Linked DNA regions of Pelodiscus sinensis. The protein of the gene in region 2 interacts with the protein of the main gene of each other region in a pairwise test. Links are inferred from orthologs where the notes say so. Each region holds a gene or a part of one and is shown on either strand. Other genes may lie near its edges.

What was found. The genes of interacting proteins can lie anywhere in the genome.
Region 1: the proteins of ZHX1 (region 2) and ZMYND11 interact in a two-hybrid assay, tested with the Homo sapiens proteins (2 studies listed by BioGRID and IntAct). The link is inferred for Pelodiscus sinensis from reciprocal best matches to the Homo sapiens genes ZHX1 and ZMYND11.

The regions. Positions count from the first base shown.
Region 1 is NC_134712.1:237,858,161-237,865,742, forward strand, and holds the start of ZMYND11 (zinc finger MYND domain-containing protein 11), read right to left. Parts: upstream 3,014-7,582; 5' UTR 2,801-3,013; intron 2,405-2,800; exon of another isoform or gene 2,032-2,404; intron 1,805-2,031; exon of another isoform or gene 1,758-1,804; intron 1-1,757. UniProt on the Homo sapiens protein: Chromatin reader that specifically recognizes and binds histone H3.3 trimethylated at 'Lys-36' (H3.3K36me3) and regulates RNA polymerase II elongation. Does not bind other histone H3 subtypes (H3.1 or H3.2).
Region 2 is NC_134712.1:19,902,917-19,910,832, reverse strand, and holds the start of ZHX1 (zinc fingers and homeoboxes protein 1), read right to left. Parts: upstream 3,016-7,916; 5' UTR 2,429-3,015; intron 1,320-2,428; exon of another isoform or gene 1,315-1,319; 5' UTR 1,205-1,314; intron 1-1,204. UniProt on the Homo sapiens protein: Acts as a transcriptional repressor. Increases DNMT3B-mediated repressive transcriptional activity when DNMT3B is tethered to DNA. May link molecule between DNMT3B and other co-repressor proteins.

The DNA of each region.
Region 1 (7,582 bases), about 220 Mb from region 2:
AATTAATTACAAAGAATACCATAAAGTTCAATAAAAACAGGCCTCAAAAAGGTGGGAGAAATTTTCTACCTTCCTCTTGTCCACTCCACAAGTAATGCAATCAGTACAGTGTGAGAGGAAAATACTATTCTGAGATGTTAAAATGTCAGTCATACCATCACTGAATTATACAACACCTAGCACTGTATTCAGTATTTGATTTTTCAACTATGTTTCTAGGTTTCTCAAGTCTAGTTCTTTTCCACTAGTGCAGTATTTCTTAAACTGTGTTCCAATGAATGAGGCAGTTGGAGGTGTGCTGGAGAACAGAATTACAAAATGGCAGCCGTTAAAGGGGCAGGCAACTTTTTTTTTCCCTCCATAACTTTCCCCTGACCCTTTTTCCCCCTCAATAACTTTCCCCCCTACCTTCTTACCTCCCCCTCCCCCGACCTTTCTTTTTCCTCAACAAAAAATTCTTGGGTGTTCCTCATAAAAAAAATTGTTTGGTGTTCCTTGGTCTTAAAAAGTTTAAGAAACACTGTACTAGAGTCTTTTAAATGCTGTTGACAACTTTGCATTTGAACAAGGCCAAATACACTTAATGGCAGATCCAGAATGATTTTCAGGGACAAAAACTGTGAGCTCAGAAACATCACACAAAGTTTTCCCAAAAGCTTCAGAGGGGTAGCCAAGTTAGTCTGTAACTAGAAAAACTTTAAAAAGGCAACAAGTAGTCTACTACTGCACCTTAAAGACTAACAAAACATGTAGATGGTATCATGAGCTTTTGTGGGCACAACCCACTTCTTCAGATGACAAGTCCCTAATGTCACATTGAACATACTGACTTGTCTCTAAAAGAGAGCCAAGAAAATGTAATGAAAAAACCCACTATATTTCTGCTTTCAGTACTTTCAATATTTGCTTCTCCTTTCACACTTTCACCTCTTCTGTTGAAATAAATAAGGGAAGGAAACCTATAGTCCTCAGGCAAATCTTTGAGACAGGAGAAAAGGAACAACACACCACTTATGTCAATGCAGTGGGAGGCTGAAGATCATTTGTAAATGAAACTTCAGCTTCTCCATTCACAAAGACACAATGGGAAACCAGAGCCAATCCCACAAGAGCTAGAAGGGACCATCCAGCAGGTGAGGAAGGAAAGCGCAGAGGATTTGAGGAAGCAGAGTGATGGCTGCCTGGGCCTAATGAGCATCTCACCTGTAAGGGGCTTTAGGAGCAGGGTGCCCATCTCCTCTTAGGGTGTGTCTAGACTACCTAGTTTTGTCGACAAAAGTGGACTTTTGTCGATAAAACTATACCAGTGTCTACACTTACGCTGAGTTCTGTCGACATAACGTCGACAGAACTCAGCAGTTTTGTCGACGCTGGTATACCTCATTTTACGAGGCATAACACCTTCTGTCGACAGAACTCTGTCGACAGAAGGTGTTATTGCCTGTAACACTGCGTCCAGACTACGGAGTTCTGTCGACAAAGCAGCTTGCTTTGTCGACAGAACTCAGTGTGTCTGGACGCTCTTTGTCGACAGAAGTTTTGTCGACAGTATCTGTCGACAAAACTTCTGTCGACAAAACGCGGTAGTCTAGACGTACCCCCAGGGAGACTGGGGACCTAAACCTCATTTCTCCCCTTAGAAAAGAGTTTGAGGGTGTTAGATGCAACTTCCCTGCTCATGTCTGCCCTACAGGGGGAGCTAGAGTATCACCCCTCCCCAGCAGTGTCTGCCTGACATGGGGTCCTGGAGAGGTGAGGGTATGGCCGCTGCTCCAGGATCGGACCCAGCAGGGGAGGGCCCCCAGTAGGTATTGTCTCCCCCCAGGTGTGCCTTTGGGGGGCACCACAGAGGTACTGCCTTCCCCCTTGCTTCTGCCCTATCAGGGGCAAACAGGAGCAATGCCCCCCCAGCGTCTGCCCCACCGAGGCCAAGCAGGGATATTGCCCTTCCCCCGCGTCTGCCCTAAGAGGGGAGCCGAGGGTACAGCCCTCACCCCCTCCCAGTGCCGCCCCCGGGGCTAATCCCCCTACCCGTGTCGCTGCTTCAGAGACAGCCTTGCAGAGCAGCTGCCATTATCCGGCCCAGCCCCGTCCCTAAGCAGGCTCAGCCCAGCGACAGCCACAGGCGGGGCCGGGGCAAGCCAGGCGCCTGGCGTGCGGGGTGGGGGGAGGGCTGTGGCCCGTCTGCGCCACATCCCGCTCGGCCGCTCCTCTCACTCGAGGCCCCGGCTGCCCCGCTCCCCGCAGGCCGCGCTGGAAGATTCAGGAGGGGCTTTCTCCCGCCTCCCCCCAGCCCCTAGGTTATTTATTGTAACTTTGGCGTGCGCGGGGGAGGCGCAATCCCAGCCCTTTGCAGCTAAAGCCCATGGCTGCGGGGGGAGGGAGCTTTGTCAACGAGGATTGATAATTATTAATATTCCCCCGCGCCCAGTTTCCCTGCTCCATTTCCACCCTGGCTAGGAAATTACCCCCCCCCCCGCAACAGCAAACAAAATCCCCCCCAGCTCCCCACATTTTATTATTCTAGTGGCAGCCCCCCCCAGGAACCCGCTCCCCTCCCGACCAGCCCTTCCCCTGCCCCTATCTCCTTGGATCACTGTGTACAGATTTTTGTAGGGTTTTTTTTAAGGCGCCATGTTTATAATCCTCCATCATATTAAAAAAATTCCACCCAGCACGAGACACGCTGTCTCTTCACCCCAAAGCCAGGGGGAGAGAGACAGAAACATCCACAGGGCTGTAAATTCAAGCCCCCCTCACACACGCACCCCTCCTCCCCAGACTCCAAAGTCTCTCTCACCTTGTGCTGTTGCTGCTGCTCCTGCTGCTGGAAGGGGGAGGGGAGGGAGAAGTTAAGCCAGGGGAAACTTTTCAATCGCTTCCCCAGGCCGCTGCTGCCGCCTCCTTCCACATATTTTTCCCCCTCGGAGTTTTATTGTGTCTGAATATTCTCTCCCTCTCCTCTTCTGTCTGTCCACAGTTAAGGTTTCTGGGGTAAACAGGGTTTAGGATTGTACTAGGGATATTTGGGAGAAGGAGAACTCTAGTGGTGTTTGCTGGAGTTGCTGTTTGTTTCTTTCTGCTTTCATTTTATTTTATTTTAATACATTGAAATCGCATTCTTAACTGTTGATGGATTATATATTAGTTTTTAGATCATAATATTAAGCCATGACCCTGCAGTGAGTTTATTGGCATTTAGAGGGAATATACATTAACCAAGGTAAGATAGGGTGCATGCTATGAAAATACAATCTGTAGAAATTCTGGACAAATTTTTCAGAAGGGATCACTGAACTGGGACACCCAAAAACTAAAGAATGAAAAACCCATGGCTACTCTTGAAAAATTGGCTTCATACGTCTAACTATGGTGATTACAGAAACTGGCCTTTCACAAAATGAATACTGTTGATGTGTGCATTTTGTGTGTAATTTATAATATTTAGAAATATTTTGTGGTATGTTTAGATATAATATGCAACTTATATGGTGTGTCAATATTAAAGGAATATGTAATGCTAGTGTATGCAAATGAATTTGAATTTTGATGGTCATTAGAAATTACATGAGAGAAGAAAGCCTTGTAATTACAGGCTTGACCAGCTTTTTTTTTTTTTTTTTTCTTTTTTCTTTTTTTCAGGGCAACATCATATTTTGTCACAACATACTATCAAGCTCAATCCTGCAAACATTATTCTTGTGAATAATTTGACACGTGATTACTTCCATTAAGATAACAGAGGACTGAGTAAAGTAAATCACATTCTTAATGCCTAATATAAAGACTTACACGCACTTAATTGTATGTGCTGTGAACTGTCTAAATCATGCAACTGTGTTCAAGTCAATGGGGACTACTGATCATGTTTAAAGTTAAGAACTTGCATACGTCTTTGCTGAATCAGGGCTTTAAAACCCTTTTTTAAAAATTTGTTGAGCACGAGTTAAGCAGCTTTGGTTCTGCTATTTTTTAAGCAGTGAGAAAATATTTTAGAATCTCTGAAATAAATGATACAAATAGAAATATGTAAGTAGATAATCTACTTGAAGTTTACTTGATGGATTTGATTGATAGACAACTTTTCGTTATCAGCAGTGCATTGTATGGTTGCATATTACCGTGAAAATATGGGTTTTATTTTAAAGTCAGGGTTTTGATAAACTTAGATCATTGGAGCTTTCCTGTTAATAGGTTGCAAAATAGTTGCAACCTTATATTGATTGAGTATAATTTTTGTTCTATAGCTAAAATTTTTAAAGGTAATTAGAGAATTAGACACTGTAATATGGGGCCGTTAGCGGTTAGCGCCCCTGCCAGCAGGATGGGGAACAATACTACCTGACTCCCATCCCCCCAATGGCACCATATTCAAGTCTGTTGTTATCAAGTCCTTGTTATGACCAGCCTTCTAGCTAGGTTCCAGTAGTATCTATTCCCTTCAAGATAATGGAGATTCAGAAGCACTGTTCCTGCCAATTTTTTCTATCCCATGTGTGGATATTTTCCATGCATGTGCTGAATACATTCGTATGTGCAGCGAGGCATGTGTGAATATGCACCACCAACAGAAACACAAAAGCTATCTATGGAATCTCTGACAATCAGCTGGGAGGCATTCAGATTTTTCCTGAGTGGCCGCATGAGTGCACAGCTTACAGGGACTATTGATCAGAAGCCCCATAACTCTAATGGGGCTAAAGCTCCTGGGTTTAGCTTTCTTCAGAGCCCTTGGCTAGAGCAAATTGGGAAAGCCAGCATAGGTGCTGACTTGCTTTTGCCAGATGGTGCTTTTGAAGAGGGGTGTGTGTTTGGGAAGATGATATTTTCAGCATATTTATTCATGTCTTTCATATTCTGGTTACTAAATATGTGTCTATCATTGGTATCTTACCAGGCAAAGAGACTGAGGGAAGTCTTGGGGGCAGGGACCTTGGAAGAAGAGCTGGAGTGGGCACAGGGCCTTTGAGGAAGCAGCAGAATGGAAGAGAGACCTCCAAGTGAATCACAGGCAGGGCCTCAAGAAGAAGTGGCAGAGGAGGGACAGGGTCATGTGGCTGAGAATGGGTTAGGACTGCAGTCTGAGCACCAGTGACCCCACCCCACTTTTAGGGAGTTTCTGACACCCCATCCAGCTTCCCCACCACTAGAGTCATGCACTGTCCAAAGCACCCACAGAGTTGGCACATAGAGAACCCAGGCCCACTGCCTCCTGTGGTTTTCAACTCAGGAAACATATTTGAAGCAGCCAGCCTCCATCTTTCTCAATTATTTGCTGCTCCATGAACTGCCTCTCCTCCTTTGCAAGCTTTTCGTGCCTCTTGCCCTAATTTGTCCTTTTTGGAGCATTTGGTTTTTCTGGCAGCTTCTTCCCCAGCCTGTTGGAAGAATCTTCATTTTACAATCCCTTCACCTCACTGAGGGCTGGGCTTCCCTTTTTTCTTCAGCTGTTTTCCCTTTGATTGAGGCCCTTAGCCTTTCATCATGCCTCAGTGCTTCCCTGTCTAATTAACTGCCTCTTAGTTACTGAGTGAATTAACTACTTACAGGTGTACCCAAGCTGCCTCATTTCCCCTCAAGGGGTCTCTCAGAAGAAGACTGGGCCCCTAACTCCAGAATGACAGCTACTTTCTGACATATAATTTTTAACTATGCTATAAATAGTAAGAGGAAAAAGGATTTACATCATGATCTAACTACTCCTTACTCCCTTGAGTACATCTTATTTTTGCACAGATTCATATTGGCTTAGGGCAAAACTGCAATTGTGTTCAACCCTAGCTCTCAGAAACTATGGTAATTGTTACTACATAAATTGCTGGGCTTCAGTCTTGCAAATGCTTACACATGTGCAGGATTAGGGCTTCCTCATTTGTCTATATTAGAAGTTTTTATTTGAAGTTATTGATTGCCTAATTGTTTGTGGTAGTTAACGTATTTGTAATGGCTAATCTGGTACACTCAATGTTTGTTCTGAGATACAAATTTTGGGTCTTAAGATAAAGGACAAACACTTGTATTCTCAAAATGCTCAGGGAGTATTCACATTGCTCCTACAACTATGTTATCTACTTCTATACAATGTTATTGTAGCTGTGTTGGTCCCAGGATATTAGAGAGACAAGGTGGTGAGGTAATATTTTTATTAGACCAACTTCCATTTGTGAGAGAGACATTTACACAGAGCTCTTCTTTAAATCAGGGAAATATACTCAGTATCACAGCTAAATACATGGTGGAACAGATGACCTTCGCCAATGGTAGGCAACCTGCAGCCCATCAGGGTTTCATGTGTGGTCCACGAGACATTTTGTTCACTGTTCTCATGCATAGGGTTGCCAGAGTCTGCTGGTTTCCGTGAACCTTTTTTTCTATCAGTATTACTAATGTGACATGCATGTAAAGGGAAGTGCATGCTAATTGCACACAATATTGATTATGAAAGGCGTGCACTCCCTCTGCAACCAATAAAAGCGCTGCTAAGTTTCAGTCTGCACACCATGCAAATTACAGGTATGCAATCACAATTAGCAAAACTATCCTATCTCTGGAGACTGTCTTGGTTACGACAGTCTTGTGGTTCACTGAGACGAAGGGCCACTCATGCCTCGGTTGCTCATCCCTGACCTACTCTGAGTAAGTATTTGCTGACTAAATCCGTTAACTCAAGTAAATAACACTGGTGTAGACCTTCGCCAAAGAAATAGGACTTCTTAGGGACTAATCTTGTAAAATGCTGATCTTCCTCAATTTGTATGAATATCAGCACCTAATAGGATCCAGCTTTAAGCAGGTAAACATTTGCATAATGTAGTCCTTAAGCCATGGCTTGGTGGACAAAAAGTCCTTCAGGGCTTCTCTACATAAGGACATCCAGGAAAATTAATTCAAAATTAACTCACTGTGTGAATTTGAAGTGGATAAGTTAAAAATTGTGATCCTATTCTTCAGAATTAAAGTAGCCTTAATTTGGTTTAGTTGAATTCATTCCCCAAGTGACTTAAATCACATGGAATCAGGGGTCACTATAGTTTTGAAAAACAGTGTATACACAGGGGTTTAATATGGTTTCACTAACCCGCTTCAGATTCACAGTTGTGGTTAATTCAGATTAATTTTTTATGGTGCTATATAGACAAAACCTCAGTCATAGTAGTTCATCGGAGTTACCTTACATATGATTGAAAAGACTTTTTAAGACTGATGCAGGATTGAAGCCACATTAGCTTGTTACAGGCTTGGCATCTCTACAGTCGTTTATCTCTGCATCTAACTATTTGAAGTTTCCCTTTTGGTAGCTAAGGTTTCAATTAGGGAACAGCACTAAGATAAGTACTTTTAAAGTCCTATGGTTAGAAGCAGTCAAGGCTTAGTTACGCAGACATTGGAAAGAAAATCCCGCCTTTCATGAGTGCTGGGTAGTTTGTTCCTTCATAGGCATTGCCAACTGTTATGGCAGTTGCTCAATTGGGAAAGTATCCTAACCCTTCCCCCAAAGTAATGTGATTGGCTGATGAGAGTCATAGGCATAGAGTTACATGGCATGTCAGCATAAAATTCAGGGTGTTTCCTTTTCCCTTGT
Region 2 (7,916 bases):
TGATTAAGTTTGCAGATGACACAAAAATTGTGGGAGTTATAAATAAAGAAGATTTACAGGTCTCTGATACAGAGGAACCTGTATTGTTTGATAAACTGGGTACAAGCTAACAATATGTGTTTCAATACAACAAAACGTGAAGTCATACAAAAACAAAGAATGCATGTCATACTTACAGGATGCAGGAGTCTAACCTGAGAAACAATGACTTTGAAAAAGAGGTAGGTGGTATATCACTATGCACATCAGTTAAAGAGACTCAGAAAAGGCTAATGTATGGATGTATAAAAATGGGACTATCAAGAGGGGCTAGGAAAGTTATTTTACTATCCTGGGGTTATCATGACTGGATTACCATATCCACACTGTTTCTACAATTAAAGAAGGATGTTAATAAATTAGAGAGAATTCAGAAGATCCATGAAAATTTGTAAAGAACTGAAAAACAGGAGGCTCAAGGACTCAGTGTATTCACTTGAATCAAAGAAAAGATTAAGAGGTGATTTAAGATAGGTTGCATAAGTATCTCTACAGGGAATGGAAATCTGGTAACAGAAGGACCCTTAATTCTAATAGACAAAGGTACAACAACATCAGATAGCTAGAAGTTGAAACTAGACAAATTCAGAGCACAAGACAGACATATATCTTTAAACAGTGAATGTAATTAACCACTGGAATGATTTAATCAATGGATTTACTGTGATGGCTTCTCCATCATTGGCAATTTTTATATCAAGTGTACATGTTTTTCTAAAAAAATATGCTCTAATTCAAACAGGAATTAATTAATTAGTCTTTGTTGCTCAGGAGGATGATAATGGTCTCCTTTGGTCGTATCATCTATGAATCTACTTTAAACATTATTTTTTGCCCTATTAGATTTTGTAAAATCCTTGTAACCAAAACACATTTTTGTTCTATACTGACTGTGTGGTTTTAATTCCTCTTTACTTTGGTGCCTTTAAAAGAAGTTTTAGATTACACTTTGCAGCTTTTTAAAAATGAAATTCATATTTCTGAATACCTCCAGCATGCTATTTTTAAAAAAAGGGCTATTTATTTCTGGTTAAAAATCCATTTACACACCAACTTCTTATATTTTAAATGGCAAATTGAGAAAGGTAAACTGCCACATCATTAGTATGGTTAACTGCCGTCCCAGAAAGGTTAAAATGTTCAGAAGTAACATGGAGATACCTACCAGTTAGTATTCACTACTTGCAGGTGTTTTGATCCCTTTCAGAAGCACAGAACCTCTTTTCAAAGTATGTGGTTTATTGACACTGCTTTGGATCTCTATTTCTGTGCATCCTAATCTGGAGAAGAGTTGAAAATCAGAATGCAGGCCTGGGTGTATGTGTATATGTCCCAAAAAAAGTAAAAATGACATTTCCAAACTTTACCTGCAAACACTGCTACAGGTTCCATCTTTTCAAACTAATTCATTTTGCATTTTAAGATGCCAGAACTAGAACTTATCCCATGGACTCAATTAGTTAACTAAAAGATCCATAAGGATAAATACTGGTATATTAAAAACACAAGCATATTGGGTCCTTCAAATTTATGAAAATTAAGTTCTTTATGCTGCTTTTTCACCTGACTTGTCCAATTTTCCTTCACCATTTGTGAAAGACAAAAACATACACAAAATCCTCTCTGCATAGCTGCCAAACTCATATTTGGAGATGAGGAAAGAGGAAGATCTCCCTGGTTCTTCAATTTTGCAGTAGCTTAAAAACAAAAAAATACTTCACCATGAGGGATTTTACAGCATGTTCCCAGGAGATTTAGGAATCTCATTCAACTGGGACAAGAATCATCAAATTTGTAAATTTCAAAACTGTGATTACTTTTTCAGTATTGCTCCCTCCCCCCATCAGAGCCTCCAACTCTCCCAAAAAGCCACCCACAACAGTATTTAGATTTTAGAACCTCCTCTAAATCACCATTGGGAGAAAGCATAACACAGGTCCCATCATCTGCAGACAAAACAATAGGGAGGCGAAGAGTGGGGAGAAATACACACTCAGCCCCTTCCACCTAAAAAATATTTAGAAGTATAAAACTGCTCAGTGAAGACACCCCTTTGCCTGTCTCTGGCCGTAAGAACTCTCCCATGGTTTATTCCTTTCTCCTTTCTTCCCCTAAACCTTGGAAAGACATCTTTTTTTTTGTAACGTTTCCCTAGAAATGATCACTGAGCCAGGGTGTGGGGAGTTTGTTGATCTCAGCACCCTTCTCCCATATTATAAATGATTGAAAACTGAAGGGAGAATCCCTCTCAAATCTCAGTTCTAGAAGCAATGGCTAGAGATGTGTGTGTGAGAAATACTTCCCAGCTTCCACCAAAGACATTTCACTCACGCTCTCCAACACGCCCAGCACCCCCAGCAGAGAAAGCAAAGAATGCTAAAATCCCTACCGTGAAGTGCAGCTCTCTGCCTCTCTCCTACTCAGCCTGTGTCTGTACCTCCTCCTCCTACTGCCTCGTCGCCATCTTGCATTTCAAAAACTACTGCACTTTTTTTGGGGAGGGGTGGGTAACTGAACTGTGAACTTTGAACTCACATAGCACTTTAAACCCACCCTGAACACACAGACCCTGATTTGATCTGTGCATTAAAACTCCATTCCCCCTTCGATGCAGAGAGTCTATGCCATGCTCTGAGTGTGGGAAACGGGTGTAGCAATAGGCAGTGTCTCTCACTCAATCACACATGCAGGAGCAGCAGGGAGGGGAGGAGCTGTTCCAGCAGTGATACAATCGCCTCTCGTCTTGCGTGTGAAGCTGGGGAGTGGTAGCTGCCACCATTTATAAAGCTGGCACAACAGAAGGCTGCCCTGTGATTGGTCCCAGCAACGTATTATTCTAGCCATAGGGATCAGGACCAAAAAAAAAAAGCTAGTGGTCACATGACATCTCCCCCCATCTCTTACCCACTGAGCTGCTAAGCTAAGGGACCCAAGGCAAAGATCATCCTGTCCCTATGCTGTGTATTTCTCTCTCTCTCCTAGTTTATCAAGTTACAATCTAGTGGTGTTAAATGAGGAAGCAGGTTATTACAACTATTTTAGCCCAATTTCTTTTTTACCATGGGTGCTTTTTGTAGCGTGCGAAAGGAAAAAGCAAACAAAGCAATTAGAGTTTCATTTTCTAGTTTACACAATAGCAGCGGGCTGCAATGTTTGGGTTCAAACAAACTTTTTTTTCTTTCTGTGTTAGAAGCACTGAAGAGTGGGCACTGCTTTTAAAAGAATGGACCTGTGCTCTTTTCGTTTCTTTACCAGTAGAGCTTTGAGCAACAATGAAGGTGAATGTGGCCAAGCACTTTTCATTAAGAGACTTTTTCAGTTACTTAAAATTTTAGCAAATTTCAGGTGGTTGGACAGAAATGTCTCAATGCCCAGATCAGCCTCAGACTGATTTTTTTTTAAACATTTCAGAAAAACTGATTCAATCTGTGTCACAATACGGTGAGTGATAATTTTGTTTCTCCTCCTTTCCCCATTCATCACAAATGTGTAAATGCCTGTCATCTGTGGAATTCAGAGGTGGTTCAGTGTTGTACTAGAGCAGTGGTCTCCAACCTTTTTATACCCAAGATCACTTTTTAAATGTCAGGGCAAGCCAATATCTACCCCATCCGTTCCCCAAGATCTGATCCCTTCCTTGAGGCCCTACCCTCTCTGTTCCCCTCCTCTCCATCATTTGCTGTCTCCAGGCCTCACTCACGCTCCTGGTGTTGAGACAGAAGGTGCTGGTTCTGGGATGGGAATGAGGGATTTGGGTGTGGGAAAGGGTGAGAGGTGCAAGCTCTAGGAAGGAATTCGGGTGCAGGAGGAGGAGGAGAAGGGGATGCTGACTCAGGGAGGGGGCTCCAGGCTGGAGAGTGTTGGGGTCAGGAGGAGGGTTGGGGTGTATAAGGGGCTCAAGGCAGGAAGGTTGGGTGTACAGTGGGGATTTAAGGGGCTCACGCCAGTGTATGATAGGCTCAGGTTTGGGGTCTGGGTGTGTGTGTGCAGGAGTGTTATGATGCTGCATCCAGATGGGGGCTTGGCCCCAACTGGAGGATTGTTGGACAGGCTTCATTTTTAAATAAAATATGTCAAACACAAAATGTTTCAGCATTGTTTTTATTTATGAGAGGTGTGGGGAACCTGTTTTAAGTCAGGGGTCACTGACCCACAGAAAAATCAGTTGGAGACCACACTAGTGAAATGCAAAATAAACCACACACCACACACACCACCCTCCAAAACCCCCCCAGTCTCATTGATGTAGCCCCAGCTGAGACACCTCACTCTCCCAGCACTCTAAACCTATGGGGGCGGAGAAGAGGAGGTAGAACTAAGGTTCAAGGCCCTCCGGCCAGATTAACTCTTTCTGGGGTTTCAGGGTTAGTGGAATTTGTGGGCCCCTCTACACTCTGAAATGAGGCAGGACAGGGCTCCCAGTGAGTGGGATAGGGATGCAGAATCTGGGTAGAAAATAAGGTAGAGGAGCAAGCTGGAGGTAGGTGTCTGGCCAGGAGGGAGGGGGTAGGAGCAGGGTGCTGGTGGGCATCTGGCCATGAAGCAGGGGCAGGGTGCTGAATGCTATCTGGCCACAAGGCAGGGGCAGAGTTTGGGATGGGATCTGGCAAGGGGGCAGAAGCAGGGTGCTGGTCGGGCCCTGGGCAGGGTGTAGGTGGGAGTCTGGATGGGGCCAGATGCTGGTGGGGCCCTGGCCAGGGTGAGGGAGCAGGGTGCTGTTGGGGAGGACTGGCCAGCAGGTGAAGACAAGGACAGCTCGACTGGTACCTGGGGATCTCGCAACACGTGTGCTGCTCCTCCCCTCCTCAAAACAGCTGGCATGCTTCCTGAGATGGTACTGAGCTGATCTTGTCCATGAATAGGTGTAAAATAGTAACGTGCAGCAGAAGCCTTGTTGTCTATTAAGACATTTAAGATTTTGGGTGCAATGCACAGAAAAAAAGGCAATCTTGCACAGAAATTTTAAGCTCTCAGAGATACTCATTTTGTCTGGTCAATATTGAGGATTGTGTTGGTTTGAGTAGAAAATGCATCAAGATTTTCTTGAAGATGCAGCTCCAGATTTTTCCTTTTGTTAGTGGATCAGTCCCTTCTTGAATACCACTTGTATTCTCCACTACTAATTTATCTGTTTCCCCAAACATCCCCAGACCTGTACATTTAGATACACAGAGTATCTGTGATTACTGGTTGCTACTGATTTAACAGATTTCTTGTAACCTGTAGTAGCAGTCATCCCCCATTAGGTCAAAGATTTGACCACAATGTGAACTCAAGGCCTACCTTACTCAAAGCAAGGATATGCTTACCATCAAGTAGGGATGTAATAGTGTAGTCAATCAATAAGCAAAAGCTTATAGGGTTAATGCTATAGACTACACACATTCCCTCCCCACACCAGTAAATTTTTTAGCAGGCTGGTCAGCAGCCTGGCAACAGGTCCCAGACCTACCCCTACTGTGGCTCTGAATTTAAGTGTCTTAGAAGTCAGTTGGGCAGGCAGCCCATCTCAGTTCTGTCTCGCACTGGGTCCAGGAGCTCAGACCCCCTTAGACAGGGACTGCTGCCTCTTTATCAGGTGACCTGGTTTTTAAACCGGCTCCTCACACAGACCAGCTCCTGCCTGGCACCCCATGCTGCTGCCTCTGATACAGAGGCAGCAGTATGGAGTGGCAGGGGGCTACTCGGGAGTGAGGCCGGAGCACACTGACTGCTGGCCCTGTTCCAGAGACAATAGAATAGTCAACTAACTGATAAGAATTCATGAGGTTAATTGTATCAGAGGGGGTAGCCGTGTTAGTATGGATCTGCAATTGAATAATCAATTGAATTGATTATTCAATTAACCGATATTTAACATCCCTACTATCAAGTAGTCTTTTCTTATTAAGGCCATGTTTTATCTTACACTTTTTGGTCACCAGTTACATCAGCATACATCTGCCAAAATTTTTATAATCGTTTGGGCATGTGAATACATGGCTACTTGTTTTAGCACTGCAAATACTCATCAAGAGTGTTTGGGTTATTGCAAAGTCCCATGCCCTGGATCAGTATCCCAATGTGCCCTGAACTACTTCATGGTGGAATACCTTTTAAGATGGAAACGACATGTCCAGGACATTAGGGAGCAAGGGGTCCCAGCATGCAACTTCCTCTATCCATTATACTATTCATAGATCACAATTACTGTGCCTTAAAAAAAAGTCTACAAAATACACATGGCACTATTTGGTCTCTGCATCTCTGACAGAAGCAAGGAGTCAACAGAGATCTAGCATCGCCATTATCATGAATATTGCAAATACAGGACACACAAATCTCTTGTACTTACAGACTTGCAGGCAACAATGGAAATGCCAGTTTCTTCTAGGATAGTTTGCTCAGGAACATAGTGAAAAATAACACAAGGCTATGGGAGACATTAATGGAGCAGCTGCAGATGGTGGTGCACCACTGATGGGATCACATTGTAATGCAGATTTGGGATGACAAGTAGCAGTGGCTGCAGAACTTTCCACTAAGGAAGGCCATATTCCTAGATCTATGTTCTGATCTGGCACCAGTCCTCCTCTGCAAGGACACCAGAAAAAAAGAAGCAGTGACAGAAGTGTAGTGTTCACAATCTGGAAACTTGCAATGCCAGATTGCTATCAGTCAGTGGAAATCATTTTATAGTTTGAAAATCCAGTGAGAGCCATTGTCACACAAATGTATACAGCCATTAATCATCTTCTGCTACAGAAGACAGGCAATGTGGGGTTCGCAAACTGTGGAAGAGTAAGGTGCTCTCTTAGCAGGTGCAGTATGACTACTATGTTTTTGGAAGACTTATGAGTAAAGAGTGACAGCGTTTCTTCAGACTGGACCTCAGTGAGAAAAACCATCACAATGATTATAGCTGCTTGTGTTCTGTGCAATATATCATGCATGGGGGAAAAGCTGCTGTTAGGGTGGAGGCAGAGAGGCTTTGAACAGCTAGAACTCTTGCCAACTTAGGCTACGTCTATGTTGGCAAGATTTTGTGCAAATACTATTAACGCAAGAGTTTTTACATTAAAGTATTTGCTGAAGAGAGTGTCTACACTGGCATGTGCTTTTGCACAAGAGATGTGCTTTTGCGCAAAAGCATCTGTGCCAGTGTAGACGCTCTCTTGCGCAAGAAAGCTCCGATGGCCATTTTAGCCATCGGGCTTTCTTGCACAAGAAATTAATGTTGCCAGTCTATACTGGCCTCTTGCGCAAGAACAGTTGCACAAGAGGGCTTATCCCTGAGTGGGAGTGTCAGAGCATTTGCGCAAGAAGCACTGATTTTATACATCACAACGTCAGTGTTCTTGTGCAAGTACTTGCGGCCAGCGTAGACAAGTGGCAAGATTTTGCGCAAAAGCAGGTGCTTTTGCACAAAATCTTGCCAATGTAGACACAGCCAAAGACCGTTGTAAGAACACAATGTGGAGCTATGCAGTTGATGAAAGCTTTAAAAGATTAATTTTAACAGTCAGCCTCGCTGTTCTGTGCTGGACTGTTCTCTGGGCCTGAAGCTTTGGGTGTTAGTAATTGAGCATTTATAATTACAAGAGTTTTACAGGAGCTGTGAAACAGCCTGGTCGGTTGCACACAACAAAGAAAAGCTCCAAGGTGCACTCAAGGTGGAAAAGCAGGAACATTTTTTTTCCAAAAAACATACAAGGGACTTGGGAGAATTAGGGATGTAAAATCCACTTTAATTTGATAACCCTTATGTCTAACTGGTTAACCAATTAAGGGGGACAATAGAGCGCCCACTGCGGATGGGGGCTATTTAGGCCAGCCCCAAAGGATTGGAGCACCTCCATCCCTGCGGCAGGCTAGGAGCTGCACTAGCCCTTACTGGT